Linked DNA regions of Astyanax mexicanus. The main gene of each other region encodes a partner of the protein of the gene in region 3 in a complex. Links are inferred from orthologs where the notes say so. Each region holds a gene or a part of one and is shown on either strand. Other genes may lie near its edges.

What was found.
Region 1: the proteins of morf4l1 (region 3) and phf12a are in contact, whole or in part, in a cryo-EM structure (PDB 8BPA), measured with the Homo sapiens proteins. The link is inferred for Astyanax mexicanus from reciprocal best matches to the Homo sapiens genes MORF4L1 and PHF12. Residues at the interface, in NP_996670.1 of Homo sapiens: Glu201, Lys204, Pro205, Leu207, Val208, Asp209, Trp211, Asp212, Tyr251, Ala252, Glu255, Val256, Gly259, Ile260, Glu262, Tyr263, Val266, Met267, Thr270, Gln271, Leu272, Leu273, Tyr274, Lys275, Arg278, Pro279, Tyr281, Ala282, Leu285, Arg304; in NP_001028733.1 of Homo sapiens: Cys62, Glu64, Gln81, Cys82, Asn84, Pro86, Pro204, Leu206, Arg207, Arg208, Pro209, Phe210, Leu212, Leu213, Ile214, Ala216, Ala217, Arg220, Asn221, Pro222, Thr223, Gln224, Phe225, Gln226, Leu227, Pro228, Glu230, Leu231, Thr232, Thr330.
Region 2: morf4l1 (region 3) and vps72b share a complex: the UniProt entries of both Homo sapiens proteins name them as parts of the nuA4 histone acetyltransferase complex. The link is inferred for Astyanax mexicanus from reciprocal best matches to the Homo sapiens genes MORF4L1 and VPS72.
Region 4: morf4l1 (region 3) and ruvbl1 share a complex: the UniProt entries of both Homo sapiens proteins name them as parts of the nuA4 histone acetyltransferase complex. The link is inferred for Astyanax mexicanus from reciprocal best matches to the Homo sapiens genes MORF4L1 and RUVBL1.

The regions. Positions count from the first base shown.
Region 1 is NC_064427.1:4,876,968-4,885,083, forward strand, and holds the start of phf12a (PHD finger protein 12), read right to left. Parts: upstream 3,559-8,116; 5' UTR 2,811-3,558; coding exon 2,745-2,810; intron 2,047-2,744; coding exon 1,865-2,046; intron 1-1,864.
Region 2 is NC_064413.1:39,939,328-39,947,428, forward strand, and holds the start of vps72b (vacuolar protein sorting-associated protein 72 homolog), read right to left. Parts: upstream 3,404-8,101; 5' UTR 1-3,403. UniProt on the Homo sapiens protein: Deposition-and-exchange histone chaperone specific for H2AZ1, specifically chaperones H2AZ1 and deposits it into nucleosomes.
Region 3 is NC_064416.1:24,296,654-24,304,880, forward strand, and holds the start of morf4l1 (mortality factor 4-like protein 1), read left to right. Parts: upstream 1-5,151; 5' UTR 5,152-5,296; coding exon 5,297-5,336; intron 5,337-6,889; coding exon 6,890-6,936; intron 6,937-7,740; coding exon 7,741-7,808; intron 7,809-7,963; coding exon 7,964-8,050; intron 8,051-8,227. UniProt on the Homo sapiens protein: Component of the NuA4 histone acetyltransferase (HAT) complex which is involved in transcriptional activation of select genes principally by acetylation of nucleosomal histones H4 and H2A.
Region 4 is NC_064412.1:16,297,776-16,305,428, forward strand, and holds the start of ruvbl1 (ruvB-like 1), read right to left. Parts: upstream 3,291-7,653; 5' UTR 3,146-3,290; coding exon 3,005-3,145; intron 2,202-3,004; coding exon 2,115-2,201; intron 2,005-2,114; coding exon 1,872-2,004; intron 1,162-1,871; coding exon 1,010-1,161; intron 921-1,009; coding exon 831-920; intron 1-830. Other genes in the region: eefsec (selenocysteine-specific elongation factor), read left to right, coding at 4,191-4,509, 5,417-5,624, 6,203-6,299, 6,500-6,664, 6,995-7,624. UniProt on the Homo sapiens protein: Possesses single-stranded DNA-stimulated ATPase and ATP-dependent DNA helicase (3' to 5') activity; hexamerization is thought to be critical for ATP hydrolysis and adjacent subunits in the ring-like structure contribute to the ATPase activity.

The DNA.
Region 1 (8,116 bases), on a different chromosome or scaffold from region 3:
AATGCAATGTAAAGTCCACAGCCAGACTATCAGTTTGTAAACCACTGTAGGCCTGGTCAGTTCAAGCATCCTAACATGTTTCACAAGGCCTGGTTCACCAAGCCCAAACCACATCAAAAACAACACCTTCACTATTCACTCAAGACCTCTTCTCAGCTTGCTCCAATACTAAAATCAGCAAAAAGTTTTCTATGAAGGTCATCAGTTCTATCTATGCTGCCTATTTGAATGTGGGGACGCCCGAGAGTCGAGCTTGATGAAAGGCAGGTGAGACTGTAGGCGGATTTGAGTCCATCTGGGCACTGGGCCAAAGGCCTCTGTGCACAATGCATGCCGGATAGGTTCAGCGTTGAACGGTCTCTGAACTCACATGGATTCATTTAAAGCAGTAGTTCGTACAAGCGAAGATAAACAATGGCAAAGATGAAACTGGAGCATTTCAGAATCTTAAATCTCTTGTCGAACAATTATTACTGGAGCCCAACTGTGCACAGAGCCGTGACACGAAGTCTCTTCTTCCACGAGACTGTTTTAAAAGTCTGACTGCTTTAAGAGTTTGTTTAGAGCTTTCTGAGGAGAGCCTGGCTGCATTTCTAATAAGTTAATTGCGGCAGAAAACCACAAATCAGGCGGAAGGCCCTGTCTCTTTGTCTGTCTATTATTCTCTTAGTCTGGTATTTCTATAACGCACGCTAGAGCCAGAACTTGCGGCTGCCTGGGACGCAAAGCATATTGGTTAATGATTATTTATACCGTCCAGCTATCCTTGTCCTGAGCCTGAGTGTATATTTACAGGCCACCAAAGTGAGACTCTTAATTCTTACTCCACTTACTCATATGAGGGTCTGCTCATGGTCATATAATAAAAATACATCAGATGCCTTGTTCTGTGCACCAGATTTTATAGTGACACAATTAGGAAAATAAATAAATCAATCGACCTGCATCGTTGCTTACTCTTATACTCTTACAGGATTCTACAAAAAGATAATCAAGGTGCGAACGCTTTCTTTTTTTTTTTTTTAGCTCATCAACAACATCATGTGGGAGTCTTTACAGGCAAGCGACAACCAAATGAGTCTCCTCTGCCTGGCCTGCAAAACAAATAAACCAGCCCTGCACTGATTACACACAGTCAAACATTTTACTGAGTGGCTAACAAGCGAAGACAACCATCAAACAGTTCACATCTGGTGAACGACAGTTCAAAGGCAACTGTGGCAACTGTGTCAAACATAGTTCTGGAAAGTTTGGAAAGACTTACTCAGGACCACCAAATGTATCTGACAGGAATCTATTACAATAAGTGAACTCTGCCATCAATCACTACAATGGACCAACAGCCTGTCTGGAAGTATTTCTTTTTGCACCAACTGATTTCACCTAGACAACCCGTTACCATAATCAGTCACAAATGACATATCCTCCATAGCGAAACATTAAATCTAAACAACTGTATGCACTCATTTACTTTACCAGCCTTAAGATTCTCCTCTATATACACACACCTCTGTATTTGCACTTTCGTCTTGTGTCTCTTGTCTCATGTATGTCTATATCTGTGACCTTGTTATATTGTACGTTAAATGTCTATCATTTCATTTTTTATTATTTATAATTTTTACTTTGCTGTACCTGCAGTAACTTGGGGAAGGAGGGTAAAGTAATTTCAATCCCCTGTATGTCCTGTACATATGCAGTATTGATAATAAAACTACCTGACTTGACTAGTCTTTATAATGTTCTAATATTTTGTGTATATATATCCAAGAGAATCAAAACACCGTGTGTTAACATATATTTGTAGAGACACCAGGATGAGCAGGACTACAGTCTACAAACTTTTGGTCGTGTGTGTACACACCAGCACTGCAAGTGGAAGGCAGCAGGGCAGTGATCGCAGCAGAGGAGATCCCCTCCTTCCCGACAACTATCGCAAGTGTCGTGGTTGGTGGCCCGGCCGGATCTCCTGGTGCTCCTGTCCAGCTTTCGACTCCTCTTCTCCGAGTCCTCGGACTTGGGCGGTGCGAGCAGAGTCTGGATTTGCTGAAACGGAGGAGAGAGGCATGTTTAGCGGGGTTTGGGCGCGATCGAGCCGCAGCACTTCTGAGCAGCTCTGAGCCAACCATCCAGCGCTAAAAACCCGCTCAGAGCCCAAACTAAACTGTCTGCTGCGTATGATTTGATTAAAAACGAAGTTTTCGAGAGGGACAGGCAGACGAACATCTTAGTAGTGTGATAGCTGAGCTATGAGAGGGAGAACCGTCATGGTAGCGGGGAAAAAAATAAAACCATATTATGGCGTCCACCCTGCTCGGGTTGAATCGAGACGTGTCAGCCATTGTTGGGCCCAAAAACACAGGCTAGCGGGTAGCAGCTAGCGGATGATAACACTAGCTAGCCTAGGGAACATTAACCATGAATGTAGCTACTTATCATTAAATAAACCAATAAACCAAGAGTGATGGCACGCTTTTTAAACAGAGATATAAATGAAAAATACAGCGAAATAGCTTAGCAAGATTAGCTAACTAGCTAACCGCTGGCTAACCTAAGATGTTAGGGTGACGGCTAAGCTAGCTAGCTAATGATTAGACTACAGCAGCTAGCTAACGTTAGATACGAGCTGAGCTAAGCTAACCTAGCTAGCAGCCGGGCAATCCCTAGTACACTGTAAGAAAAAAACAAAGATACAAGAAGCCACACTCTTCAATTTTCTGCAGCTTTTAAGCCACCCTGCTTACCTCCATCAGCCCACCGGAGGTGTCCAGGTCGTACACGATTGTCGGGGTCTCCATTTTATCCCACATTCAAACAAGTCGAGGTTAATGAGCGTTTGGATAGGCTAGGCTAAGCTAGTTAAGCTAGCTAGGTTATCTAACCTAGCGCTAGCTTACCCAGCCAGCTCAGTCCAGAAAGAAAATGCAGTCCAGCTCAGTTATAGCCGGACAATCCCCTCAAAAAGTTTCTAAAAATTCCGTCCAAGCGCTTAGTAAACGCTATAGGTATCCACAGAAAGAAACAGACCCACACGTCTCTCTTCTTAAGTCTCTTCAATGCCAATGTTGTGCTAACAGCAGCCCGAGCTCATCAGCTTCTTAGCTTTCCAGCGTTTCAGCTTCTCAGCTCCAGTCCCGCAGCCACGCAAAGAAATCACCACACACTCCAAATTGTGTATTTCCAAGCAGGTAAACACAGGAAAACTCCTAAAACAGCGCCGAGCAGCAGGAGAAGCTCTGCCCGGAGTCAAACCCCGAGAAATCCTACAGCCGCGGGCCTAACTGAGGCCTTCAGCCAGCGCGCTGCCCGCTCCTCCTCCTCTGACCGCGGCCAGCAAAGATGCGGGATAAAGGCGCCACAGCGGCCGCTTCCATCACTGCGAGAACACCGTGCGGCCCCAACCGGGGGACAGAAACCAGACCGCGGCTCTAAGCACAGCCTGCCAGCAGCAGAACGGTGCCGGAGATAACGGGCGAGATCATTGTTATCATGTGTGAAAGCAAACCCGACGACAACGGCGACATCCTCCACACAAGCGACGTCCGATTCGCAAGCGAGTCGTTCATTTGAACCAAATCTTTTCAATAAAAGCGGGGCGAGTCGATTCCTTACGAAGCCCCAAAGATGGAAAAATAATATTTTGAGTCTTAAAACCTAAATTTTCCCTGAATTTGGAATGGATACTTTAATTATACTGATGGAATAATTTATTTTAAGTCTTTAAAAAGTATTTTTCTGTGTTCTGTGTACAATCTCGATTTGATTTGGAACTGAATCAAACTATTATAGCTATATTATGTATGCTATATAGTTTAACTTACATAGTAAACAGTAATTGTAATTCAAATGTAAATAAAAACATTCATAAATAAAATAAATACAATATTATAAAGCAATAATATAGTAAGAATAAAATAATATTCAGATACTTTTTTGTGATCAATTTTTATTTGAGTTTATTCATTAATCAAACACATTGCATTTTTACATGTTTACGTCCGTGTTTTAGTATTCAGACTTATTTATATTAATATAAATCATACAATAATATATATATATATATATATATATATATATATATATATATATATATATATATATATATATATATATTATTATATATATAATATATTTATTTACGTGTAGTTTTAACCGTGTAGATTCGAAAAATAAACATGAACGGAACGAATCGTTGACAGTAAGGTTTGATTCATTCGGTTCATTGAACCAAGCAACTAGAAAGAATCGGTTCCTTAAACTGAATCGACCTCCCCGTCCCCGTTTGGCGCAAAACTTGCGTGGAACCGCCTTTCTGCGCATGCGCCGTCGCCCAGCCGCCTCGGAGCCATCTTGGAGGAGGTTGAGCGCTGGCTGCGTTTAGGAGGCATTTTCTGAACTGCTCGGTCTCCGCTGTCGCGCTGCTGTTTACCGGGTTTAAACTCAGCGTTATGGTGTAGTTTATCGGTGTGTTAGGGACAGTGTGAGCTGTAGTAGTCCCGGCTGTAGCTCTGCAGGGTGTGTGTTTGTCGCTGTGCTGTAGTTTTCCGTTATTCGGCGGGTTTTGTTAGTAACGGGTCTCTGTGTTCAGCCGCTGCCAAAACAAATACACAGATTAAAGTCATTTAAGGTCGTCTGATATCTCACCCTGGAGTATATATATCTATATTTACCGCGGATTTCCGACCTTATTATTAATGCTCTTTTACAGCGAGGAGACCCGCCGGTTTAGCCGCCGGTACAATAAATCGTTTCTAATTGATCATTATTGCGATTCTGCATACAAATTATGTTAATATTAGCAGCTAATATTAGTAAGAATGCCTAATAATGTTATAGTCACAGAAATGTAATTTTTGTTGTGCTTAATTCAGTCAAAATGTCATACAAAGTAATATATCTGACTATTTATTACCATTAAATATAAATTGAATGGAAGTAAATATTACCAATAAATATGTAATTTGAAATTTTGGGTGCCTAATTTAGTCAAAAGTTCAATAAAAAGTAGTAAAAAATATAAAACATGGTCTTTGTAATTATTTATATAAGTATTGCTTTATTATGCAAATTAGCAGACTTTACTATTGTTTTTAAGTTAAGTGCACATCACTTTTTAATTACATTTCTGTGTTATTAGTTTATTATGAAATTACGACAAGGCACCACAATGTCGATATGCAGACTTCTGTTTTAGGGTGTATGAAACTACAATAAATTATGACAGTAATAAAAGATATGAAGGTGTCTAAGGGATTTAGGGTTTCCAACATTTTTGCTTTTTTTTATACTTTAACACTTTATGCATATTGACTCTTATTTTATGGACATATCTGACCATTTATTACCATTAAATATAAAGGTTACTTTTGTGATGCTTAATTCAGTCAAAAGTGTAAGAAGAAGTAGTAAGTATATAAAAAAATGTTCTTTATAATTATCAATATAATAAGAGATGAAGGCAGTGTAAAAAGGTTTTATTCCAAATAAATTCATCATGAAAAATGGCCGTGATGTAGAGAACAAATTATGTAAATAAATAACACAGGACAGACATATAAAGATAAAAGAAGTTCTTTTTGAACCCACATCAAGCTTACACAGGGATTACTGCGCCACATGAGTCATCACAATTATCATAATGCACAGAAACATAATCCGAACATTTTATTTATATTGGACAGATATTTTTCACTCTCTTTTTAGTGTCTTAATTTTTTTTTCATATACTGTACAGATCAGTGTCTTTCAACCCAATAAAGCATCATGATAGCTTAATTAAGCTAGTTATGACTAATTATTTTACTATTATTATTTTATATAATATTAATAACTTCCCATTAATCACTGCATTGAATATTGACATTTAATATTCTGTAAGTATACCCTATTAGTTTTGATATTCCTGTTATAACAGCTCAGTCCTCTTGAGGGCAGTCTTTTAAAAAGAACCATGCAACTGCTGCTTTTCACCTCCCAAAGAGTCCATACTTCAGATATAACATCTTTATATCACTTCAGGAAACACAATATTGATCAAAACATTGTTTTTTCTGATGTTTTTAAAGTTGAAAAAAAAAAGAAGAAATATAGCAACAGATTTGGACACCTAGTATCTTCTCTAAGTAAGGTTTTTGCTTTATTCAGAGTATCATGATGATACTTTATTGCATTAATTAATTGTGGATTATTAAAGCCTTCTGTTGTTATGTACAGTTGTTTGACGTTTTTTAAAGAGGTAATGGAGCCAAAATGACAAATGTAACCGTCACGATTTCATTTGCAAACAGGCCTATTAACCTCCTGCTGTGGAGCCACAATAGTCTCTAACGCCTCTGTAGAGTTTCCAGCTGAAAAGAAAAATCACACTTCTAATAATGTGTGTATGTTTAAAGGTGTTTGAAAACTGCAGGCACTGTCTCACTGATTTTGCTATTTATAGGTTTATGTTTGAGTAAAATGAACATTCTTGTTTTTATTCTATATACCACAGACAACATTTCTCCCAAATTCCAAATAAAATAGTGTAATTTAGAGCATTTATTTGCAGAAAATGAGAAATGGCTGAAATAACAAAAAAAGATGCAGAGCTTTCAGACCTCAAATAATGCAAAGAAAACAAGTTCACGAGTATCTATAGTACATATAAGCTATATATAAGCTGTGATGTAATATTCTAGGCTGCAGTCGAGGAATAGGGGGCTGGTCTTGGAATGACATTAGATAGAACATTGGAATAAGATAACAGAGCAACATAATCTTTGTTTTCATGCAATTTTGCCCAGTTTTTGTGGTGCTGTTCCTTCCGTTTCTCCTTGATGTGTGCAGTAAATTGTGGGTAACCGAGAGCCAGGAAGGATACATCAGTTGCCTCCTTCAAATCAATTGAAACATTGGCTGCATTTGTAGCTTGGCAAGCAGCCTATATCTACTAAATTCTCACTATAAGTCAGACTGTGACTTACCGAATTCTTATAATTACATCATTACATCAAAATCCGTATATATACACTGCTCTGGAAAAAAATTAAGGGACCACTTGAAAATTATGAGTTTTTGATTTAATTTTACCAAATTAAAAAAACCTCTGGAATATAATCCAGAGAAAGATGGATGATCAAAAGCCATCAGACCAAACTGAACTGCTTGAATATTTGCACAAGGAGTGGCTTAAGGTTATCCAAAAGCAATGTGTAAGACTGGTGGAGGAGAACATGCAAAGATGCATGAAAGCTGTGATTAAAAAACAGGATTATTCCACTAAATATTGATTCTTAACTCACTTATGTTTTCTTTGCATTATTTGAGGTCTGAAAGCTCTGCATCTTTTTTTTTCATTTTGGCTATTTCTCATTTTATCACTATTATAACTCTACTTACCTGTTTTTCCAGCTTTTTCTTCACAGATGATTTGCAAGAAAGACACAAAGCGTCTGGGTTTGGAACAGTCAGTTTATTTACAAAGTGTTTAGGAAAGAGAACCCCCATGCAGACATTCAATGGTGCCAATGTTGTAAATAGACTGAGTGAGGATGGTATTAACACTGGTCTCAGAGTGTCGCTGTGGCTCAGTTAGATAACCCTGGCCTGGACACTCATTCACTCTCAGGTCCAGAGCACATCCATCTCCTGTGGATGCAGACCCTGAAAAGCACTCTGATAGATATTGTCCCTCTTATGTTTCTGTACACACACTTTCTGTGCTCATTTGAAAGAAAAAAAGAAGAAGAAAAGAAAAGGTAGAAGTTGCTGAAGCGCTACAAAAATAACGTTATATTGTCCACCATGTTTCCAGTGTTTACACAGGTCCTCTGGAGGAAAAATATACTGTACAGGAGCTCAGAGGAAGGTGGGAAAGAGGATAGGAACTCATGGAGAGGAAGAGGAGGAGGAAGAAGAGGAGCTGTCACAGGAGAGGAGGAAGAAGAAGAGGAGGAGTGTAGAAGATGGACAGCCACTGCTGAACAGCCTCTAAATAGACACCTCATACTGTCTCGTCTCCTGCAACGATAAACACAGCCGTCAGAGACTTTTCGAACACTCTGGAACGTTCTTTATCAAAGTAGATTAGACAAGTAAAGTGGGGCCTATAGTTAAACCTGAAACACTGTTTGTCAAA
Region 2 (8,101 bases), on a different chromosome or scaffold from region 3:
CTCACATATTGAAACTAAATACTTTAATTACCCAACTTACAGTAAAGCAGAAAGGGAATTCCCTTTCTGGGTAAAATTTACGGGGATCTTTGGTTCAAAATCTAAATCTAAGGTAAGAAGATGTTGTATCTGGAGAGGACATAAAATAAGTGTTGCTATAAAATAAGGATGGACTTTCCTCAAACCCAACAGAAACAATGGCATTTAGAAAATGATATATCTGTTGGCCCATCAGAATTCCCCATGAGATCAAGAGGTATTTTTTTCATTGGCTGTGGTGGATCATGCAGTATAATTCCTGCCTTTGTTAAAAAGAATGTGGTCTGCTGAAAGAGAGGCCTTGTCCTTGGTGAACAAGGACGCAGTGTTGATTTGAACAAACATTGCTTGTCTCCCACTTTTCATTCACACATTCACATTCAAGGAAAAAAAAAAGTATTCCATTTCCCTAAACTCACGAAAGAACACACTATCCTAAACAAAGTTTACACATCCTGTACGGCGCACAATGGCCGCCGGTATGAGTCCTGACTATTTTATTAGCTTTTTGTTATATTAGGCCTTTCTCAAATAGAGCTATGAGCCATGCGGTGCTCATCCAGGTTTGGTTACATTTGCAGTGTGCAGATGCAGAGCGAAAAACACCTAGAGGGTGCTGGGTTTGAAAGGGCAGAGCGGTGTGGCGTGCAGTTTCTGCGTATGTCATACCCAGAAAGATTGTTATCGGTCATACATGTTTGTTTATTTGTTTGCCTTTTTAAAGCTCATTTGCATGTGCAGCGATCAGTCATAGCATTAGCACCACCTGTTTAATGCTGAATAAGTCGCCCTTGTGCCAGCTTAACAGATCTGACCATTACAATGGCCTCTAAAAAAGTTCTGTTATCTTGGCAGCAGATCCTTTAAGTCAGCATGCCTGTATGTTATGAGGTGGGGTCTCAGTGAGCTATAGGTGTGCATGACCCTATCATCAGATTATTGCATGTCCTCTCTCAGACCACTTTTGATGGGTAAACTGACCACTGCATACCATTGATATTTTTGTAAGATTTGACCCAGTGGTTTAACTCTTTTTTCATTTTCTCGTTTTCTTAACCCTGGTCAATGAGGCTCACTGTATTGCAAATTTTAATGTTTTTTCTGCTTTAACATACACACACTCTAACTTAATAATGGGCTGTTCAGTGATTATTTGGATCTGGAAGCACTAAAAAACCAAAAAGTGCAGGGGAGTGAGTCACCATAAATAGTGTCAAGAAATACTGGTCTAGCCAACACAACGTGTCCCATGTCACAGTTGCTCAGATCTTTATGCTTACCCATTTTTCCTGTTTTAACGCATTTCCTTCATTGATTTGGTTGATGTATTCCACAGCTCAGTTCACATGACAAACATTATGCAGCTCAATGAGCAGTTAAATGAATGAACTCAGCTGAATAACAGCTGGAAATGTTCTCTGCTGTTTGTCAGAAAGGTGTAAACAAGGCCATCAACTCATATCAGTTCAACTCAATCAGTTCTTGGCTGTACCTCAAGGAAATTTAGGGCACTTTTAAATCTGCAGTAACCAAATGCTGCAGGAAGGGAGTGTAGAGGACTAGAATGAGACACCCCACACTAAAGCCTTGCAGACTTCACATGCACACAATAATGAAGAGCACAGAACTGCAAATGTTTCAACTGCTAAAGTTTCCCCAAACATGAATCTGTGCCTATTGCTTAATGTTCCTAGAACATTTTAAAGGTATATTAAGAGCAGGAAACCATAGGACTATATTCACTGACTCACTGTGAAACCTCTGGATAAGACATTGCTGCTGCTTTGTTGTTATGAGTATATTATTAACACTGCTTTGAAATGATCTGAAATCACAGTGAATGAATCAGGCTTATTGAAGTTTACTCTTTAACATTTGTTGTAGTGTGGAGTTTGATCTATCTTCCCACGCAGCAGCTTGTATAACTAAGGTGTGTCAGACTCGTGCACACAAGAATGAAGAAGAAGTCTCGACTCGTTTTCATTTATGTAAAGATATGCAGGGAGTGCTGTAGGTATGTGCCAGCAACGAACCAATTAAAATGCTCCAAAGACCAAAAGATCAGACTGAAACGAGTCTATAAGGAACTCCAGCTGTACATTCTATTTTTCTAGAACAATGTACTTAAATTATCTTGAATTAAACTTTTAGAAGCTCTGCCATTGTAGGGTTAAAATGTTCTATTTATCTTGTCCTTTGTGGAGAAAAGGCAGTTTCGGTTTTCCTGGTAGAAAGCCTGAGATTGTCTGTTCCCACAAAAACAGAGAGCTTTGTCCTCAAAGGGACGTATTTGGTTACTTATCACTTTGAAGTCTCCTCCCCACATTCCTCCCCACGCTCTCCCTCCCTCTCTCTGTCTCTTTTTCTTGCTCTTTCTCTGCAGAACATCTGCTAGAACCACGGAAACAAAGCCTTCCTCACATCAAAAAATTTACTGGAATCAAGGACAGAAATAAAACAGAAAAAAACTGTTGTTTTAAACATTAGAAAAGTTTACTCTGAGGCAGAGTTTTATGAATGAAGGCCTTTGTTTTGGTTTCATCCAGGGTGGTCTGTCTGAACCCTGGGCCTTGAGTGTCTCAACAGGCCCCCAGTTACATAGCTGTGAGATGGAGTGGGCGATGATCTCACTGGTCGGGTATGTGTTGTTGCTGCTGTTGCTGATGGTGAAGTACAGGGAGGCCTATTACACCCCCACCCGCATCTCCCCTCTCCCCTCTAATAACAGGACTGGAATCCAGACCACATGCTCTGAAGTGAGTGAGGAGGAAATAGAAAGAGCATGACTTGTACTGTTTCATCCCATCATGCATCAGATCAAAAGGTGGGCCTGTGACATATGTGGTATATATGGTTGTGTAACATTCAGCACTCATCTTCAATGTCACATTCACACCCGTAATAGGACATTAGGCACAGTTTTTTATTTAGCTAGAGTTGACCACACTATCAGGATATGATGATGTGGGAGGAGACTGTGGGAGGAGACTGTAAGAGGGACAGAGCAGGAGGCAGGAAGGCCAGACCCCTTCTGATAAGTGGAGCTAGGACTGAGAAAAATGACTAAGCTGAAGGGATGAGAGAGGCTGGTGGTTGGGATAACCTTTTTTTAGTTGATTTTTTTTCACGTCACTTCTTTTTTTATATTAAAATGTGTGGCATTAATAACAAAATATAGGTATGCACCAAATATTAGGCAACCGAAAATATCCAACTAAAAATGGCAAAAACAAGCACTTTTTATTTAAGTCAATTTATTATTATAAATAAAACTGCTTGGTTAATATTTTGCACATTGTTGGTTTGTCTTCTGAGACATTTACTTGTAATGATAATATAATAATAATAATAATAATAATAATAATAATAATAATAATAATAATAATAATAATAAAGAAAAAGAAGGACAATTAACAGTGTTAAATTGGCATGAAATAAATATAATAAAAATAAAATGTATACAAATAACACATAATTTTACTACTGGTGCACCATCTGGGAGACTGGGGTTCAATTCCCGGTCTGGGTGACTATTCTGTGCTACACCAAGAGGAGTCCTTGGACAATACCTCTAACACTGGGTTGTAGAAGGACTAACCTTGTAAGTCGCTCTATAATACAAATAAAAAAGTAATTTCTGATAAAACTCAGTCAAGTGATATAGTAATGAAACAATTATAATAAGGAATGCAAAGATTAACTATTATTAATGTATAAAAGTGAACTCTTCAATTTTCATCACTCACATTTATAATACATAAATGATGCAGAATATGCCACCTCTGAATGATCTACTTTGTCATTTACAATTACCCGTATTTCCTGCTTCCTTCCTTCCTGCCCAAAAACAGCATTAATCAAAACAAAGGAGACAGGTGTTTATTATTTATCATCTTTAATCTCCTGGACTGCTGAAATGAAGGGATGGGACACTGACGTCAGCCTGTGGTTTGACGTACCATAAAGTCTACTGGTGAAGGAGTGGAACATTCCTACTGATGCACAGTCATAGTGGCAGTGTGTTTTGTTGCTGCCAAAACACTGCTGTGAATGACTGCGTCATGAGTTTACATAAACATAATTGTGAAGAATTACTTTTGGTCCATTAGTCAAAAAATGTTTACATATAAAATATAATGACTGCTGCCTTTTTCAAGTGTATAAAATTGTAATAATAATTGACATGACAGTACTGATATGCAGTGCGTCATTCTGTCTCATTTAGGAAGGTTCTGCAACATGAAGATGATGAGATACAGGGTTTTTTCAAAAGATTTCTTCATAGTCTGTCTCAAGTTAGAGAACAGAATTGCTTCATGCTTCCCTCTGTGACACAAGTTGTACAGCATACATGGCATACCTAATGTATGTTATTTAAACACAAATTCACAACATCTCCACATTTAAAAGTATTTAGGATACTATGGTTTGCAAAGAAAGTTCAAAAACTGTTTTTTTTTTTGTTTAACACATTCTTTTCTTTTATCTTTTTAGGGCAGATTATCTGGTCGGTGAAGTCAAAAGGATGGCATCTCACGTAAGGGCTTCATGCCAAGGCACGCTGAGATTTAGGGCTAACATACTTTTCTTCTGTACATTGTGTCCCTGCCTAAATAACTCTGACTCATGAATGGCTGGCTGCAACCAGCTATTGTCTATCCAGCTGTAAAATGCTACATAGATTAGTCAAACAATCACTGGCCTTCCATGAACATCATCATTAGACAATGTAAAAATTGTAAAAAGACTGGACCAAATCCTGATCATACAGGATTACTTTCCCAGGCAGGGATTAAGCTTAGTCTTGTAATACACAGCATATTCTGTTTAGATCTAGACTAGGGGAAAGAGCCCCACAATGTTTAAACAAAGCAGAGCTTATCCTGAAGTCAGTGAAGTTTGATGCAAATATTTTCAAAGAATTCTATAAGAACAATATAAGCACAGCTAATGCTTTATGGACTGGTTTGAATATCAAAATTTGCTTTCTGTGAACAGATTAACATGTAGGCAAACATGAGGATTTTCTGATAGCCAAAGTTAAATAGATGTTACTAGAAAACTGTATGCTTACCAGTTTAGATCAGCCTATCCCTTACTTTATCTTTACAGTCAATGTCTGGACGTTTTAGCTGCCAGACATTTTTGCCATTTTTAAAGGTTTTTTTTAGAATGTAAGCTATTGTGTTGCAGTGTATTGTATTGAATGCAACTTGTCTAGCAGGAAATGTTTAGCTACACCCTTAAAACAAACAATACCAGGTTGTAGGCTCGATACCTGGATTTGTCTCACTGTTGAGCAAGGCTCTTAAGTGGCCACTGCTCCCTGGGCACCTCCCCATCGCTCCAGGCATATGTTCTCACAAAACATGTATGTGTCTTTGAAGTGTATTCACTAGTGAGTATGTATCTGTTCATTGCACACACTAGTTGCAGTAAATAATACATAAACATTTTATACTTTTACCTGACATCCAGTCTAAAAACAATATGTATAGTGTTTATGACTTGATATTTCATCATATAGTAGGCTACAAATGTTTTTACAGGAGCTGTTTACTTATTATTGTAACTGTTGTGCTATTTATTACATGGTCTTGCATGAATAGACATGCTATATTGTCTGACAAAAACGTTTGGTTTTTGCTCAGTAGATAAGGGTTCAGTACAATTGATTTTTCATCAGCAACTCTTTACCACAAACACCAATACTAGCTCTACCAATACAAACTCTTTTTATTGGCTGTGGAAACACAGTTCAGCTTGAGGAACATACACCTCTGTCAGAAGTCTGCCAAAACCTATTTGAGGACTAATAGTGCCTAAGTTAGAGTTGTTATGCATAGGTTCTCTAGGTTTAAAGGTAAAATTAATCTTTGAGTTTTCATTTTAGGATCTATCAGGGAGTTCAAGTCAAGTCAATAGTCTTTTGTTGCCGTTTCATCCGAGTCCAAGTACACAGTGCAATGAAATTACGTTCCTCTGGAACCATGGTGCAACATGGAACAAACAGTACAATATAGACAACAAAGTGCAAACTTGCAGCAAATTGTGTAACATAGAACTAGAGTTCTCAGCATGCTCAGTTGCATTCTTTCTGTTCCTTGGGTCGTTTAGGTTTTTTGTGATTATTTGTATTTATTTTTATTTTATTTGTGGTGGTTGCAATGGTGGAGCATTTTTCACCCTGCTGGTGTTAGTGTTAGGGGTGAATAAGGGTCTCTATCAGTGGGCTGCCATTTTTAAAAGAAATATTTCAATAAAGTTGCTGGGACTATGGAGCTATGGTTTAGCCTTGTTACTTTGACCCTTCCCACACTGATGCTACAATACATTGTGCAGGTCAAGAGCTGGTAAACCAGCTAGCATACCAGTATAGCAAATCTTACTCAGCCGTATAAACAGCCAAATATAAGCAAAGTTAACTCGTGTGAAACACTGTGTGTGTGTGTGTGTGTTTGAAAGGCAAACACTGAGCTTTGCTGCTGTAATCTGATGGAAATGTAAATCATTTTAGATATAAAGTTCATGGAAATCATTAAAGTAGTTAATGTGATAAACCCTGCTTGCAGATAACCTCTAACATTCCTCCTTCCCCTACACCCGACTGGCGCCACAGATTTGAATGAATAGGTATAGGAATTAATCTAACCCTTGGTTATTATGGAATGTATAATGATGTTTTTATATATAAAAAATAATTGTAGTAAAAAGTAGTCATTCTTCATCAGGACACTGCTTACAGGACGCTGCTGGCTGGATATTCCTAGTTAGCGGATTATTCTCAGTCCAGCAGTGACACTGAGGGGTTTAAAAGCTCCAGCAGCACTGCTGTGTCTGATCCACTCATACCATCACAATCCACACTACCAACACATCTCCACCTTGCTAGTATCACTGCAGTGCTGGGAATGACCCGCCACCCATATAATAATAGCTGGTCTGTGGTGGTTTATCCTCTGGGGTCTTGACCATTGAAGAACAGGAGTAAAACAGGATAATAGAGAAACGGAAGAACTACTGTTTGTGATTTATAGGACTACACAGTCCTCGTATGTGGTAAATCAAGCTAATGAAATAGACAAAGCATGTAGAAACATGGAGGTGGTGTTAATAAAGTTACTGTTAAGTTTGAATTGAAAACTTTATTTAATGATAATTCTCTATGTTTTATTTAAGGACATCTAGAAGTGTGTACATATACGCTTTTAATTATAAAATGAAACCACACTTCCTAGCAGACGTATACTACTGCCATTCTCTCCGGTTAAAAATAGTTGCAATGTGGTTCAGTGACACAATAATTCAGCATTAACATGTCACACAACGTGCAGTTTACTGTATACACTACATCATGAGGATGACTCTGTAAACAGTGGAGCTGTGAACACTATGGAAAAATACAGATAGCAAAGCAGTTAAACTGCCAAGCAGGTGCACACACACTCACACACTCTGATATACACACCTGCAGTTCTGCTTATTATATTGAGAGCATAGACAAACACAAGGCAAATACACGCCTTTTCATTGGAACTATTCATTTGAATGCAGAGAGGTTGATAGAGAACACATGGTAAACATTGCTGTGGATATACTTCACAGTGTATTAAACCATAGTTGGTATAAGTTGGTGTGTCCTTCTTTGTCTTAGTAATAACTTTAATAAAACAGCCTAGATTAGTGTGGTGGGTGTGGCTCTAATACTTGCTGGCGTGTTCTCTGAAATACTTTATTTGTCTTTACAATATGTTCTGCGTCATTTTGTCTTCTTCTGCCTTTTTCCGGTCTAGTTTCATTCATTAGGATTTCAGACAATGGACCATATAGATGTTTAAAAGGAAACACTTCAGTAACATTTCAACTAACCATGACAAAACCATGATTTTTAGCTATTCCTGTCTCTTTTATCTGCCTGCATATCTTTGTAATTGTGATGTTCCATGTAACTATTTCACTATGGTGGTAATCGTCATTCATTACATTTGTGTTAAATGGCTTGGTGTTCAGAACATGGCTTACCAAAATAGATTTCTTGGTAAAAGAGTCAGGCATATCTCTA
Region 3 (8,227 bases):
GACTTGCTCACATACCACCATTAGGGTTCCAGTGGTATGAGATTTTCATTGTATGACAATATAAGAAATATAAAAATAAGCTGTTGTGTTGTATAATTAAAGTATGTGATGTTATTTTGCTTGTTGGCAGCAGAGGTGGAAACTTTGTTCACCATCTTCAAATAAGTGAAAGTGCTTATACCATACAGTAGATATATATTCAGTTACAAGTGGAGATCCTGCACTAAAAATCGTAAGTAAAATTATGTTAAGCTATGATGTTTATCACTATGAAAGAGATTTGAAAGCGTTAAATCTGCTGATTCTTAGCATAATTTAAATGATGTGGATTTTAAATGGTAGAGCAAGCGAGGGGAGATAATATATGACGATTTTTATAGCAGATATGTCTCCAGTGTTCAGGCACCGTATGATTTATAATAAAAATATTTAAAACGCAGCATATTAGAACATGCTCCTAGCATAAGTGTAGGTGGGCTTTTGGATATACTATATCACTGTGTTAGGATAAAGTTTAATTACGAGGCTGAAGTTGGTTTGATATTCGCAGCTCCAGATTCGTTTGGCTCGATATTCGCAGCCTCGTATTCCCCGGCTGAAGTTGGTTTGATATTCGCAGCTGCCGCTTCACTGAACCACCGTGAACTAAAGGGAGCGTTCACAAACACCCGCTGTTTATATTAAACACCTCACAGATCAACACTGAAGGAGATAGAATGAAGAAAAGCAGTACATCTGTTTATTAACAATGGAAATATACAATATATTATTAAATATAATTTTATATACACGACCTTTCATCACTTATTTTCTCCAGTTTTACTTACAACATGAATTTGCTTTTCTAGTGTAATTCATTCATTTCCTGAGTAAAAAATATCTGAAATAGAGATTTAGCCTCCTACTTTCAAGAAAACCTGGCATTATCCTGTCCGGAGCCAATTGTATATTGTAAAATATTTATTTTAATTACTGAATTTATAATTATATATTATAATAAGTAATAAAAATATATATTTAATAAAATTATATTTTAAAAGCCATTGCGCTCAAAAAATATGAGGCAGATGTTCAAGTGTGATTTTGAAGAACTTTTTCATGTTGGGCCAGAACAAATACACATGATCTGAAGAGTACTAGTCTTCTACTGTAAGAAAAACCTGGAATTAGCCTGGCCCAAGCTGATTTTATACTTTAAAATGAACTGCCAACATGGAATACCGATCCATAAAGCACAATTTTTTATGTAAAGCTGATGTTCCAGTGTGATTTTGAAAGACTTTTTCATCTTGGGCCAGACCAAATACACATGATCTGAAGAGTACTAGTCTTCTACTTTAACGAAAACCTGGAATTAGCCTGGCCCGAGCTGATTTTATACTTTAAAATGAACTGGCAACATGGAATAACGATCCATAATGCACAAAAAAATTGAATATAAAGCTGATGTTCTAGTGTGATTTTGATGGACTTTTTAATCTTGGGTCAGAACAAATACACATAATCTGAAGAGTACTAGTCTTCTACTTTAAGGAAAACCTGCAATTAGCCTGGCCCGAGCTGATTTTATACTTTAAAATGAACTGGCAACATAGCATACCGATCCATAATGCACAGTTTTTTTTATGTAAAGCTGATGTTCTAGTGTGATTTTGAAGGACTTTTTCATGTTGGGCCAAGATGAAAAAGTCTTTCAAAATCACACTAGAACATCAGCTTTACATAAAAAAAAATGTGCATTATGGCTCGTTATACCATGTTGCCAGTTCATTTTAAAGTATAAAATCAGCTTGGGCCAGGCTAATTCCAGGTGTTCCTTAAAGTAGAAGACTAGTACTCTTCAGATCATGTGTATTTGGTCTGGCCCAAGATGAAAAAGTCTTTCAAAATCACACTAGAACATCAGCTTTACATAAAACAAATTGTGCATTATGGCTCGTTATACCATGTTGCCAGTTCATTTTAAAGTATAAAATCAGCTTGGGCCAGGCTAATTCCAGGTTTTCCTTAAAGAAGAAGACTAGTACTCTTCAGATCATGTGTATTTGGTCTGGCCCAAGATGACAAAGTCTTTCAAAATCACACTAGAACATCAGCTTTACATATAAAAAAATTGTGCATTATGGCTCGTTATACCATGTTGCCAGTTCATTTTAAAGTATAAAATCAGCTTGGGCCAGGCTAATTCCAGGTTTTCCTTAAAGTAGAAGACTAGTACTCTTCAGATCATGTGTATTTGGTCTGGCCCAAGATGAAAAAGTCCTTCAAAATCACACTAGAACATCAGCTTTACATAAAAAAAATTGTGCATTATGGATCGGTATTCCATGTTGCCAGTTCATTTTAAAGTATAAAATCAGCTCGGGCCAGGCTAATTCCAGGTTTTCCTTAAAGAAGAAGACTAGTACTCTTCAGATCATGTGTATTTTTGGTCTGGCCCAAGATGAAAAAGTCTTTCAAAATCACACTAGAACATCAGCTTTACATAAAAAAAATTGTGCATTATGGCTCGTTATACCATGTTGCCAGTTCATTTTAAAGTATAAAATCAGCTCGGGCCAGGCTAATTCCAGGTTTTCCTTAAAGAAGAAGACTAGTACTCTTCAGATCATGTGTATTTGGTCTGGCCCAAGATGAAAAAGTCCTTCAAAATCACACTGGAACATCAGCTTTACATAAAAAATTGTGCATTATGGATTGGTATGCTATGTTGCCAGTTCATTTTAAAGTATAAAATCAGCTCGGGCCAGGCTAATTCCAGGTTTTCCTCAAAGTGGGAAAGTAGTTCTCTTCATCTGATGTGTATGTGTTCTGGCCCAAGATGAAAAAGTCTTTCAAAGTTTGCCAGTTCATTTTAAAGTATAAAATCAGCTTGGGCCAGTCTAATTCCAGGTTTTTCTTAAAGTAGAAGACTAGTACTCTTCAGATCATGTGTATTTGTTCTGGCCCAACATGAAAAAGTTCTTCAAAATCACACTTGAACATCTGCCTCATATTTTTTGAGCGCAATGGCTTTTAAAATATAATTTTATTAAATATATATTTAATTATTTATTGTAATATATAATTATAAATTCAGTAATTAAAATAAATATTTTACAATATACAAAATTATATTTAATAATATATTGTATATTTCCGTTGTTAATAAACAGATGTACTGCTTTTCTTCATTTCTTCATCTCCTTCAGTGTTGATCTGTGAGGTGTTTAATATAAACAGCGGGTGTTTGTGAACGCTCCCTTTAGTTCACGGTGGTTCAGTGAAGCGGCAGCTGCGAATATCAAATCAACTTCAGCCGGGGAATACGAAGCTGCGAATATCGAGCCAAACGAATCTGGAGCTGCGAATATCAAACCAACTTCAGCCTCGTCTTCAGCCTCGTAGTTTAATTAGAGTAAAGACATAAAAAAAGTTTTTTGTTCATTAATTATTTTTTTATTGTTATTATTAATTGCCATTTACAGTTTTGTGACATTCAAGCCAATAAAGGCAGTGATCTCAGGTATTTTAATGCGCAAGGGAAACAGAATTATCATGAAAAATAAATATAAAAAAGCTGTGTTCTTTGTTAAAATGCTTGATTAATCTGGAAAAAATAATATAAGTTAACCAAAAAGTCTCTAGACTTGGTATGTTTTTTCTCATTTTAGTCTATTTTCCTTACACTCTAAATTTTCCTGCACTTCTCTTTTGGTTATATGTCCCTTTCTCAGTGTTAAATCCATCCAGTCCAGTCCATCTACAGGCGCATGCGTGTACTTACAGCAAGCGTTTAAAGTCAGTGCCGGTGTTACAACTGCGAAGTAGCGCCCTCTGTGGTCACAAAACCCGACGGTCACAGAAAACGGTGTAACATCGGTTTATGGAAAGCTCTTGTCCTCCGTTATACTTTACAAAATAACTGCACACCGCTAGAGGGAGTCAATGAAGCCAATTAGCTAAAAACTCAAATAAATGAAAAATAGTAACTAATCACTTGTCCAGGACATCGCTTTAATATTATCAAGTAGTTTCAGACAGTAAAGACCTGAATAATTAGCATTACTGCTACTGAGTGCAGACTGGTTGATGAGCTGGTGCTGGAAATATGGAAATACAGTTAGAGCAGATTTTAAAATGCCCAGAACATTTGAACATTTTAAAGGACCATTTTCAGTATAAAAATGTATAAGAATGCATTGAACAAAGTCAATATACTCTCTTTCTTAACTGTTTTTATATTTTTAGAGAAAATATATCTTATGCATTTTTTTTTTTTTAAACAATACATAAAAAACCCGAATAAACTAATGTTTGGAATAAGGGTATCTTTTTAGCGAATATTCGTTTGTGTATAAAAATGTACCTAAACTTATAATTAAATTTACTATACTTGTAGTCAGATGAAGGGTCATCAAAAAAATACAATATATACTGGAATTTAAGAGGAATTTCCTTACCCAACCTCCTCTTCAAGTCTTAAAAAAGAGCAAGACAATACACAAGAAAAAAAGTGTTTAATGGACTAAATGTGGCTCCTTTACAAAAAACTCCTCACTTATATATATAAAAATACACAAAATAGCATTAACCGAGTAGCAAGGTTTAATATAGCAGTTATTTTATTTTATTATTGAGAACATATAATAAAAGTCAAAATAAAACGACTGTTTATCCTTTGTTGAGCTGACCATTTAAGGTACTTTTTAATTTGCTAAAATGATACCATTATTCCAAACTTTTGTTTATTCATATCTAAATAATTATATACACTCACTGACTAATTTTCGACTAATTAAAAAAAAAATCATAAATCCATCGATATTTTATTTGAATCCCACTTTTCTTTTCTTTTCTTTTTTGCTTTGTTTGTTTATTTGTGTTTTTGTTTTGATGTACTTGTGATGCTGATTGTACAGGATGTGTATTTGACCTATTATTGTGTCTATTTTAGGCTGTTGGACTGTATTGTCCTATTACATTGATTCAACATTGGGGTTTATATTTATGGTTTGTATTAAACTTTACTTGAATTTTATGTTTATATATACTGTAAACAAGAAATAAAAATAAGAAGCATATATGACCAGCAAACCATTGGGCTGAGTGGGGAGCGCCCTCTGGCGGTGAGATGAACCCGGAACACGCTCTGAATCGGTGCAGATCCTTGTTCCTGTTAGGTCACATGTCCAGGGCGCCAAAATAACGCGTCAACAGAGAGCCGTAGTGCGGCGCCTTCACCGTGTCTGAATGAACCCGGAGCTGGCGATGCCTGGATTTGATTTTCCAGATATTTTTATTGTTTAATCTGTGAATGGCGCCTAAACAGGACCCTAAACCTAAATTTCAAGAAGGTAAGAGCGCTGCGGGGCGCGCCGTGCGGGGCGCTGCTGCTGCTGCGGGGGGCTGTGCTTTTGTTTGTGCTAATGGAGAGAGTCGCACAATGGCGCTGAGAGGAGCTGAAACACAAACACAGACCCGGAGAGAACCGCGGCTCTCAGGGATCAGAGGACTGGGGTCCGGGGAGCGGACAGGGTTATCAGCAGGGCCGCGGGTCTGTCTGGTATCTGCGGTGTTTCGGGTTTAGATGAAAGCCTCTGGGAAATAAGGCGGGTTGTCTCTCTGTGTGAATATGACCTATAGCTAGCGTTAGCCAATCAGCTCTCCCCCTGATCCACTACTACTACTACTGCTGCTGCTGCTGCTGCTTCAGCCACCAACTAAACTCTAATAGAATAGCTTAGCTTGCCTTAACATAATATTATGTCGCTTTAAAGCTAATTACATTAGCAAAATATCATGTAAGCTATTTTGTTTTTACAAGGCTTTCCAAGCTTCCTAAAACATCACAAACCAAGCTTGAAAATGTGTGGAATACTGACATTAATGAATTCTTAGATGATAAATCTGTAATTTATTATAGAATAGCATAATATTTTTACTCCAAGTATGAAGATAAGATGTTTTCACATGGAAATGCTATTACACAAAATTCATTACAGTCCTTGCAATGTACATGCTTATGGACTTAATGTTTCAAATATGTGTTAGAGATTCTTAGTTATAAAATAAGTTTCTCCATATGTTAGTAAATTCCTTTATTTGTTTTGAAGATGTTTAACAACATGGTAGTTAGTTATAAGCTAAAAATAGCACAATAGCAGTCTTGGCAATAAAAGCCTGTTCATTTCCAAATGTGTTGCGACGTTTGTTACGAACATGCGTTTGTGGGACAAGCGGTAGAGCTGAGTATATGGGTTATGATAAATAAAAAATGGCAAATCCTTTCAATTAATTGTATAATGAAGAAATGGTACAAACTGGAAGTCCAACCTAATTAGCTAGCTATTAGGTTTGTTATTTGGGAAATGTATTCTCAGTTTACTTAAGCTACAGCTATTTTGTGAAGGCCTCATATGTTTGTTAGAGAACACTAGTGACACATGGTAGTTTAAGAAAGATTAGATAGCCCACTGTTAAATCCATCATCCAAAAATGGAAGTAATGTGGCACAGTTGCAAACCTACCAAGACATGGCTGTCCTGGCAAGAAGAGCGCTAATTAGAGATAAGAGCCCCATGGTCACTCTGGAGGAGCTGCAGAGATTTCACAGCTCCCTTATGGAAAAGTAGGCAGAAAAAAGCAATTTTTTTGAGGAAACCAAAAGAAGTCCCATAGAAGACACAGCAAGCAAATGTGGAATTGTGAGAGCAAATGTGCTCTGTTCAGCTGAGACCAACGTTGAACTTTTTGGATTAAATGCAAAATGCTATATGTGGCAGAACACACAACAATCCTGAAGAAAAACCTGTTAAAGGCTGCAAAAAAAAAGTTGTTAAAAGAAAATGCAGTAAGGGTGGCATGACCTGGCCTAATGTTGTCTTGCTTTTTTGTGCCTTTATTTCAGGTGAACGAGTGCTGTGTTTTCATGGGCCATTGCTATACGAAGCTAAGGTAACTTTTTCTTTATATTATTTTTCTTCGGAAAATCTGAATAGATAGATTGAATGCAACAAATTGTATGTGACCAAATACACCATTTACTGTCGTAGCAGAATTAAACAGTGTTTGTGGGCTGGTCTACAGCACAGTTTGTTGTTTTTCTTGCTCAAACACATTTAATTAAGCTGCTAATTGTAAATGTAATGCCTGGCCCAGACTAGACTATAGGATCTTCACACAATCTTTCACCAGTCTTTTGTCTTTAATCAATGTTAGTTGTAAACCTTCTCACACTACATGATCCACCCCGAATAAAAGCACCACACAGAAGTGGATAACAGCAAAACAATTTGTCAGTGCTTCCTGCTTAAAACAGTAGGTTAACACAATTTAAGTCCAACCTATGTAGTCTATAATCTCAGCTCTCTTGGTTGACAGTCTTCACGTTTCCCACCAGACAATCATCATCATCATCCTCACTCTAAAGGTTATTGAGTCATAAATACAAAAAATGTTTGCCACTTATGCCTCACGATTGGCACAGCCCCAACTTTTCTGGGAAAAGATCAAAAGATCAGAGAAAATTGGTCAGATTATCCTGTGGTGTGGGCCGGGCAATAACAGATTTCAGGTGGGATCAAACCAAACTAAGCTGAGCACCAACACAGACCCTGTCCTGAATATCTCTACAGCACCGATATTTCCGGGTGCTGCACCCCAAGTGTTGATCATGTCAGTAAATCTGTTTAGCCTGTTTAGCCATGTGCTTGAAGTTTGTGTGGAAAAGATTTACCTTATTGATCCTCTCTTTTACAGTGTGTAAAAATCAATATTAAGGACAAACAAGTGAAATACTTCATTCATTATAGTGGATGGAATAAGAAGTAAGTATTCTCGTGTTTGTTTTGATGTCAATAAGAGATTCTGCTGCAGTATTAGCAGATTGATTGTTAAAATATTGTTTATTTATTAATAAAATAATAATGCATTTTATTTAATAAGTATAAAGTGCTTTATAAATTTGTCCTGTTTTTTAAAGCTGGGACGAATGGGTTCCTGAAAGCCGTGTGCTCAAATATGTGGACAGTAATCTGCAGAAACAGAAAGAGCTTCAGAAGGCAAATCAGTAAGTTTCTTATGGCGCCAGCTAAGAACGGCAGAAAACGTATTTGTATTAATGTTAAACATTCAGTTCACATTAAGACACTCTTTTTTTTTTGTCATACCTCCTACACTTACATATAGTTTTAAACAAAGTATAAACATTGATTTCACTTCTTTTATTTAGATTATTTAGACTCTC
Region 4 (7,653 bases), on a different chromosome or scaffold from region 3:
TACAAATATACTTAACATTATGACTAGCATTAGCACCTGGCAATTTATGGTATATCAGTATTAATGAGTATCAGGTATATTGTCAAACAATGCTTAATGAACATCAGGAGACAAAAATTCAATCTGTATAGAATGAATATACATTAATTACATGCCTTTGTTTTTGACCACTTGCGTTTGTGAAACTGTTAATAGTTTTTCTTTCATGAATACCTTAATTTTGTATCAGTTATGAAAAAAATATGGTTTAATACAGTTATTTAGTTTTAATGAGACAGGTATTGGACATTTATAAACCAGCTTCTCACCTGAGTGTTATGCATTTTTTCATTTTGGGTAGTACAGTGCTTTTGGCAGCTTGAGAATAAGTCTCCTTTTATATGCTCATCTAAAACGAAGAGTACTTTAAAACAACTAAAATACTGGATATTGAAAAATATAAGAAAGCATCATATAATTTATTCAATCTTAAAATCTATAAAACAGAGATAGTAAAACAGATCAAAATAATAAATCTTTCCACAAATTCTGAGAAAACTTCTGAATGACTTCAGAACTCAGTACTAACCTTGTTTTGGTTAAAGCATTGCTGTTGAAAGCAAGTCCTACAAATATGATGCTAGAAACCTGAATGGAATGGCACCACAAGGTGGCTGTGCTTGTGTGTATAGGGACCTTGAAAGGTCTGTCAGCACTACGAAATACAGTCTTGTCTTTAATCCTTTGCCAGACTGCCTGCCCACCTGCACCGACTAAAAGATACATCAACACACCAAGAGTGTGCTGTGAGTGTGCAAAAAACACAACTAATAGCTTGTGTGTGTCCTTACCTTGACTGCACCACTGTTGGCTTCAATATAGATGACATCACCAACCTCCACCCTCTCCTTCTGTAGACTCTCATAGATACTAGGATCAAGCTATGGCACAGAGAAATAGAGCACATGGTATATACACAAATATTATCTCTCACATTACCACAAAGATGTGTTTTAGATTTAATTTTTACCTTCAGCTGTTTAGTTCCTTTTCCTGTTTTCAGGCCGATGATGACATGACTGATAGTCTTCCCATAGCCACCCATTGGATTTTCTGTCTCACATGGCGTTAATTCAGTCACCTCACCTTCATACACTTCTTTAGTCTCCTTAATTCGCAGACCTGCACAGACCACACACACAATGTAACAATGTAAAATATTGGTGTGGCAGTTGGATGTTCTGGAGCAAAGTGTGTTGGTAACACAGTAACCAATTTTTTTTTCTGCATATTGCCTACTGGTGTTCAGTAACTCTCTCTCAATATGAGTGAGCCAAAAGCAAAGGGCAAATGTCAAGGGCATGTTGACAGCAGTATAATGGACTCTCTATGGCCTCGTACAGCATGCCTCTCTCCCCCTTTAAGATTATTTACGCCATTTCCTCTCTTATGACAGGTTATATCAACAGACAGATATTGTTGTATCTGTAAGTGTTAGGAGCATTTTTTACACAAATAATATTACCATAACAATTTCCAAATCTCTTATTTGAATTTGCAGGTTGTATCAATATTCTTGAAAACTTAAATCCATTCAGTGACTGGGGTGGACAGAAATGTCAGGTATGAAAACTGTAGCCTACAAAATAAAAGCCCAATGGCTTTACATAAAACAACATTTATCACTCACTTTAGACTGCATTTTTAATGAGTTTAATCATATTTAGTGTTATTCACTTATTACCTATGTAGTACATTGTATTAAACAATTTACAAATAATACTGTATTCTCATATTTCCTATTAGTTCTACATCAAGTTTTCACTCAGAGCATTTCTTCTCCAGCATTCTGCATAACTTGTGAAAGTAGATGTATTATTATGGGGACTCACCAATAGCCCTTCTGAAGTTCTCCATCAATACTTCCGTCTTTTTGATTTCAGATGAATACACTTCACTGCCCACCATCGGACAGAATGGCACCTTATTTCCCAACTCCTGGGCCATGGCCAGGGCAAGAGCAGTCTGACGGGCATAAACAGGTGATTATACACACTACCACTAAACTACTACTCGTCAACCTTAGTTGCATCAACATTGGTCTTTATGCAAAGCCACTGGTTTGTATTGCCTACCTTTCCAGTTCCAGGTGGCCCTGCAAGTAAGACAGCTCGGCCAGCCATCTTTTTGGAACGAATCAGCTCCACAATGATGCCGCATGCCTGGAAAAAATAGGACCATTGGGAACATTTAGCTGCAGTTATTTAGTAAGCCTCTCAGAAGAAGAGGTTGTCAGCAGATATACTGCAATCTGCAGATATTTAAATATAAACTAGCAATTCACAAGTATTAACATAGCTAACTATAATCTGTCTCTCGTAGATATATAATAGGAAAGGTAATACCCTGATGTGCCATATTACCCACCCCTAATTACCACAATATTTCAGGGTATAATATTGTTTACAATATTAAAAAACGATATGACACTCCCCTAATTTTAGCTATTTAATTATTTAGTACATAAGGTATGTTAGCTAGGTTATCTAGGCTACAGTGAGCAAAACGCTGGGACAGTAGACCTGACTAAAGTTTTGTTTTGAGTACAATAGGAGCATATAAATACCAGTTTTGTCTTTAATTAAATTTCTGAAAACACCTAAAAAAATACCGACATTACTAAAAAAAATCATTCTGACTAAACGAATAAAATACCGATAAAGTTCCGATATTATCGTGCACCTTTAGTTACACTAGCTACAGACGCAGGTGTCACACACATTAGTTAGCACGCTAGCCTAATTCTCACACACACACACACACACACACACACACACACACACACACACACACACACACACACACACACTGTGCTCTAGTTCATTGCAAGTCGTCGGTTTTCCTAATCAAATGATATTTTAGTTAGTAAGCTACTTAGGTAGCTAGAAAGTAAGTCAGCTCACATATTCCCCATTAGTTGGTTAGGTTAGCTAGCTTAGCTCTCCTAGCCATGTTAATTAGTTACCTCTCTGGCGGCCTCCTGTCCAACCAGGCCGGACGCGGTCTGCTTAGCATTGCCGGCGTCGTCCAAGCCAAGGCCTTTCACGTGGCTGTGCGAGGCGATGCGCTGGGTCTTCGTCGTGCTCTTCACCTCCTCGATCTTCATGGCTCTTTTCTGTGATTATCAAAGCTCGAGTAGAAGCTCTCTCCGTGCCCAGCAGCGCTCTTCTGCTTCGCCGTTGAAATCGGCGCGACTGCAAACACGGGGGACCGCGTTTCCATGCGGGTAACCAAGGAGATTCGGGAAGTCACCGCCCCTGCTAACATGTCTAGCTTCTTTCTTTATCGCTATTGGTTAAGAGTCTTCCGATCTGCTCGCTCATTGGTCAACACCGATGTTCATCAGAAGCGTTGAAGAACTAACGTTGAAGAACGTTAGCTGGCCCTTTCCGTTGGTGGGCGAGTTTAAAGATCCGTCTAGAAACAGAAGCTAAGCTAACTATAACTGTGCGCTGCGTGCTTTAGCTAGCTAACGTAAGATGTTTCACTGCAGGTTAACTTAAGTTATATATAAATTTTGTTTAATTTTTTTATTATTATTTTATAAATGTTGGGGATTCTGCATTGTTTTTTGTCTTACAGCATATTTTAGTTTTAGCATCGTTTGAATTTATCTAAGTCCTCAGTCAAGATGTTTTTGCATAAAAGTGCAGTCTTGTGGATTTATACGTAGCTAAACAGAGCTATCTTGTTTTTGGTACTATTTTATTTTATTTACTTACTTGTATTATATTATAACTTTACTTGCAGTAGGTCAGCAGCAGCTCATATAGCTTAGCTAGTCAGCTAGCTAACACTATCCACTACCTACGTTTGGGTCCCATTCCCTGAGACATGTTCCGTAGGTGGAGGTAGTGTTTTTTAGGCGACGCAGGAAGTGTAGTTAGCGTATCTGTCAAACGATATGATATGGCGCACTGTCTGTATAGGAGGGAGTTGATTCGAGTTGGTTCAGTTTGAAATTACTCGTTTTTGACATCTGAGAGGTGCTTGAGTTAAACTGCATCCAGCTAACTTACAAGATCTGTGTTTTTCAGCAGCACAACTTTTTTTTGGTGTGAATTAAGCTGAAAGTGCACAGTCATCTTAGATCAAAGTCCACTGCTTCCCTATTGTGTCTCGTTCGGATCCTGTCTTTAATTCTTCCACACATGGCAGATCCGAGCGCTAACGCTGGGGACGGCCTCCTCCCCCAGATTCTGAACTTTAATGTGGGTGTCCTGGGCCATGTGGACAGCGGGAAGACGTCTCTAGCCAGGGCTCTGAGCAGCACCGCCTCCACCGCTGCCTTCGACAAGAACCCGCAGTCCAAAGAGAGAGGCATCACCCTGGATCTGGGCTTTAGCGCCTTCACCGTCCCTTTACCGTACCACCTTAGAGAGGCCTGCGGGGAGAGAGCGTACCACAGCCTGCAGTTCACACTGGTGGACTGTCCGGGGCATGCCTCACTCATACGGACCATAATTGGAGGTGAGATATAAACAGTAGGTTAGGAATTAGGTATTTATTAAAGACAGAAAAAGTTTGCATCAGTGGTTATATTTGACTGATATTCAAACCTATATTTTGACTCATTAAGGGGACACTAAACAGTTGTCATACAATATCTAGATTTTTTATTTAAACTGCATTTGTACCTTTTTGCAAGTAATCCTTATTTTTCTGAATTGCGATAGATGGCAAGCTATATACACCCACATGCTCGCTGATTCTACAACTGCAAACTTGAACTACAGATCATATCACAGAAAACAGGAAAGAAAGTTTCATTCAACTGTTCGTCCAGAGCCCACTCAAGTTCATGTAACCATGCAGTTCCAGGTAATATCAGGAGGTGGCAGAGTTACTTTTGATATATTGTAATTATAACATGATATATTAGTAGTTTGAGATTTTTATTTTATAGATCTGTATTCAAGTTTAGAGGGGTTGTCAGATAAGCTGGTTTCCCTGTATCCATATTCAACCTGTTTCAGGGGCCCTGTGGTTACAGAGGAGAAGGGAGGGGTGTTCAGGGGGAAGTAGAATATTCTGAGGTCTTGCTTACCTAAATGCATTTAGAGAAAGGTGGAATAGAGGGAGGTGGAAGTGAGAGGAGAAGGTTGAGACAATTTACGAGGATGTAGTGTGTTTCGGGGGGCACATGTGGTTGATTAAGGCGGAAGGCTGGTGTTTAAGGTTCCAGCTAAACTTCCTCACTCCCCCTGCGGGAAGACTCAGTAAAGAATGTGTGTCAGGAAGAAAAAGGAAAGACACACTCACTCTCTCTCTCGCGCTCTCTCTCGCTCTCTCTCTCTCTCTCTCTCGCTCTCTCTCTGCATATAAAGTACTTGATCTTGTCTTAAATATGTGCTTGTGTGTGTTTGTGTGTTTTTAGGTGCTCAGATTATTGATCTGATGCTGTTAGTGGTTGATGTGGTAAAGGGCATGCAGACACAGACTGCAGAGTGTCTCCTGATTGGTCAGCTCACCTGCTCCAGGATGATTGTCATTCTTAATAAAATTGACCTGTTGCCTAGTGACAAGAAACAGAGTGCCATCGATAAGATGACAAAGAGGATGCACAAAACTTTGGAGAACACAAGGTGAGCTACAGCAGACACACAGTCTCCCATATTGTCAGTTCAAACTTAGGGAAAACAATGTGTATAGTATCATAATGTCTTTTTATATTGTATCTTGTAATGGGAAACTCGAATGCCCTTCATAATATACACTTGAGTAAGCACACCTTACAAATAAAGGACACGGGAAAAGACTTTACATTCCATATTATTCCATATCATGCAGCAAATATGGTTAAGAGATACTGTGACAAAGAAAGAAGGAGCTTAGTTGATTACCTCAGAAAGATATACTAATATTTTAAGATGGTTAAATAAAAAACATTTAACAAAATTAACTAATTAACATAGCATGAGGTAAATTCAACAGTAGAGCAGCAGTGGTTACATTTTAGTAGTGATTATACTTTTTATTAATGCTACAAATGTATATGAAAAAAAGTTTGTATTTTGTTATTGAGCTCAGCCTTACATGCATTTTACCAAAGCTATGCCATGTGTCAGTAAACATATGCATAATGCTTCAGAAAACATTTGCCTTATTAAATCTGCATGCTTCTCAGATTTTTGAATAATGGCTTTTTTTTGTGTGTGGTTAGGTTTAAAGGTTGCCCTGTCATTGCTGTGGCAGCAAAGCCAGGGGGTCCGGATGCTCCAGACACGGAGGAAGGACAGGGAATTACTGAGCTTATAGAGGTTAGATTATTACATTTGGTTTGGTTTTGTTGATTTGCATTTTTGTTATACTTTTGAATTCAGTATGATTATGCAACCTATTATTTTAAATGCCTTGACTAACTTAAGTCTGGTGTATTGGGACCTGGGCTGATGTGAACCCCTTATTAATGGACTGTGTCACATTTTATACATTATGAGGTTTGTGTGTTTGTGTTTAGTTGCTAAAGACTCAGGCTTTCCTGCCTAAGAGAGATCCATCTGGTTCCCTGCTTATGGCTGTGGATCACTGTTTCTCCATCCGTGGACAGGGAACAGTCATTACAGGCACCATTCTACAGGGGGCGCTGCGCGTCAATGACACACTGGAGATACCTGCACTTAAGGTACACAAGCACATGCTGCACATTTATGTTATGAGGACACATGCATCAATGTTTATTATTTAGCCTGCAGGAAAGTCTCTCGAAAACGCTGTATGGGGGCTTATTTTTAATAAATTATTAATACAATACCCCTTCTGATAAATCTCTGCCAAATTGTATGATTTTTCTTATATCTTGTATGAAATGATTTTGAATACAGTGCTATTGACTAAGAAATATACCACATTATTCTACAATTGAGTTCAGCTGTCCAGACACACATTTTGAATTTTAAATGTACAATGTGTTTTGTTTTGTTATTGTTATTGCCTTATCTACTGTTCTTCATAGGTCACCCGGAAGGTGAAGTCAGTACAGATGTTTCGTAAGCCAGTTCCTAGTGCGATACAAGGAGACCGGGTTGGTGTGTGTGTGACACAGTTTGACCCAAAACTGCTGGAACGTGGTGTGGTGTGCACACCTGGCTCCCTGCGAACTCTTTATGCTGCCATAATTTCTGTGCATAAGATTGAATACTACCGTGGTGCACTTAGCAGCCGTTCAAAGTTCCACATCACCGTTGGACATGGAACAGTCATGGCACGTGTGTCATTCTTCAGTAGGGTGTCTCGCAGCATCCCGTCTGGAGCCTCAGATGGAAGTCCCTCAGAGCAGGGCATGGACTCTTTCTCCTTTGAGTGGGAGTTTCATCACCAGGAGGAGTTTTTGAGCAGTCCGGGAGAAACTGAGGGGAAGGAACCACAGCAGTGGGCGTTACTGGAGTTTGAGCAGCCAGTAACATGTCCACCACTTTCTTTGGTGATTGGCTCACGGCTGGACTCTGACATACACGCTAACACATGTAGGCTTGCATTTCATGGAAAGCTTTTGGAGGGCTTTGAGGACAAGAACTACACAGAGACTACATTACCGAAACTCAAAATAAGCAAAGACAAGCATAAAGAGGGAGCAGTGGAACGGGTAACAATCTTTTACCCAACACAGACACA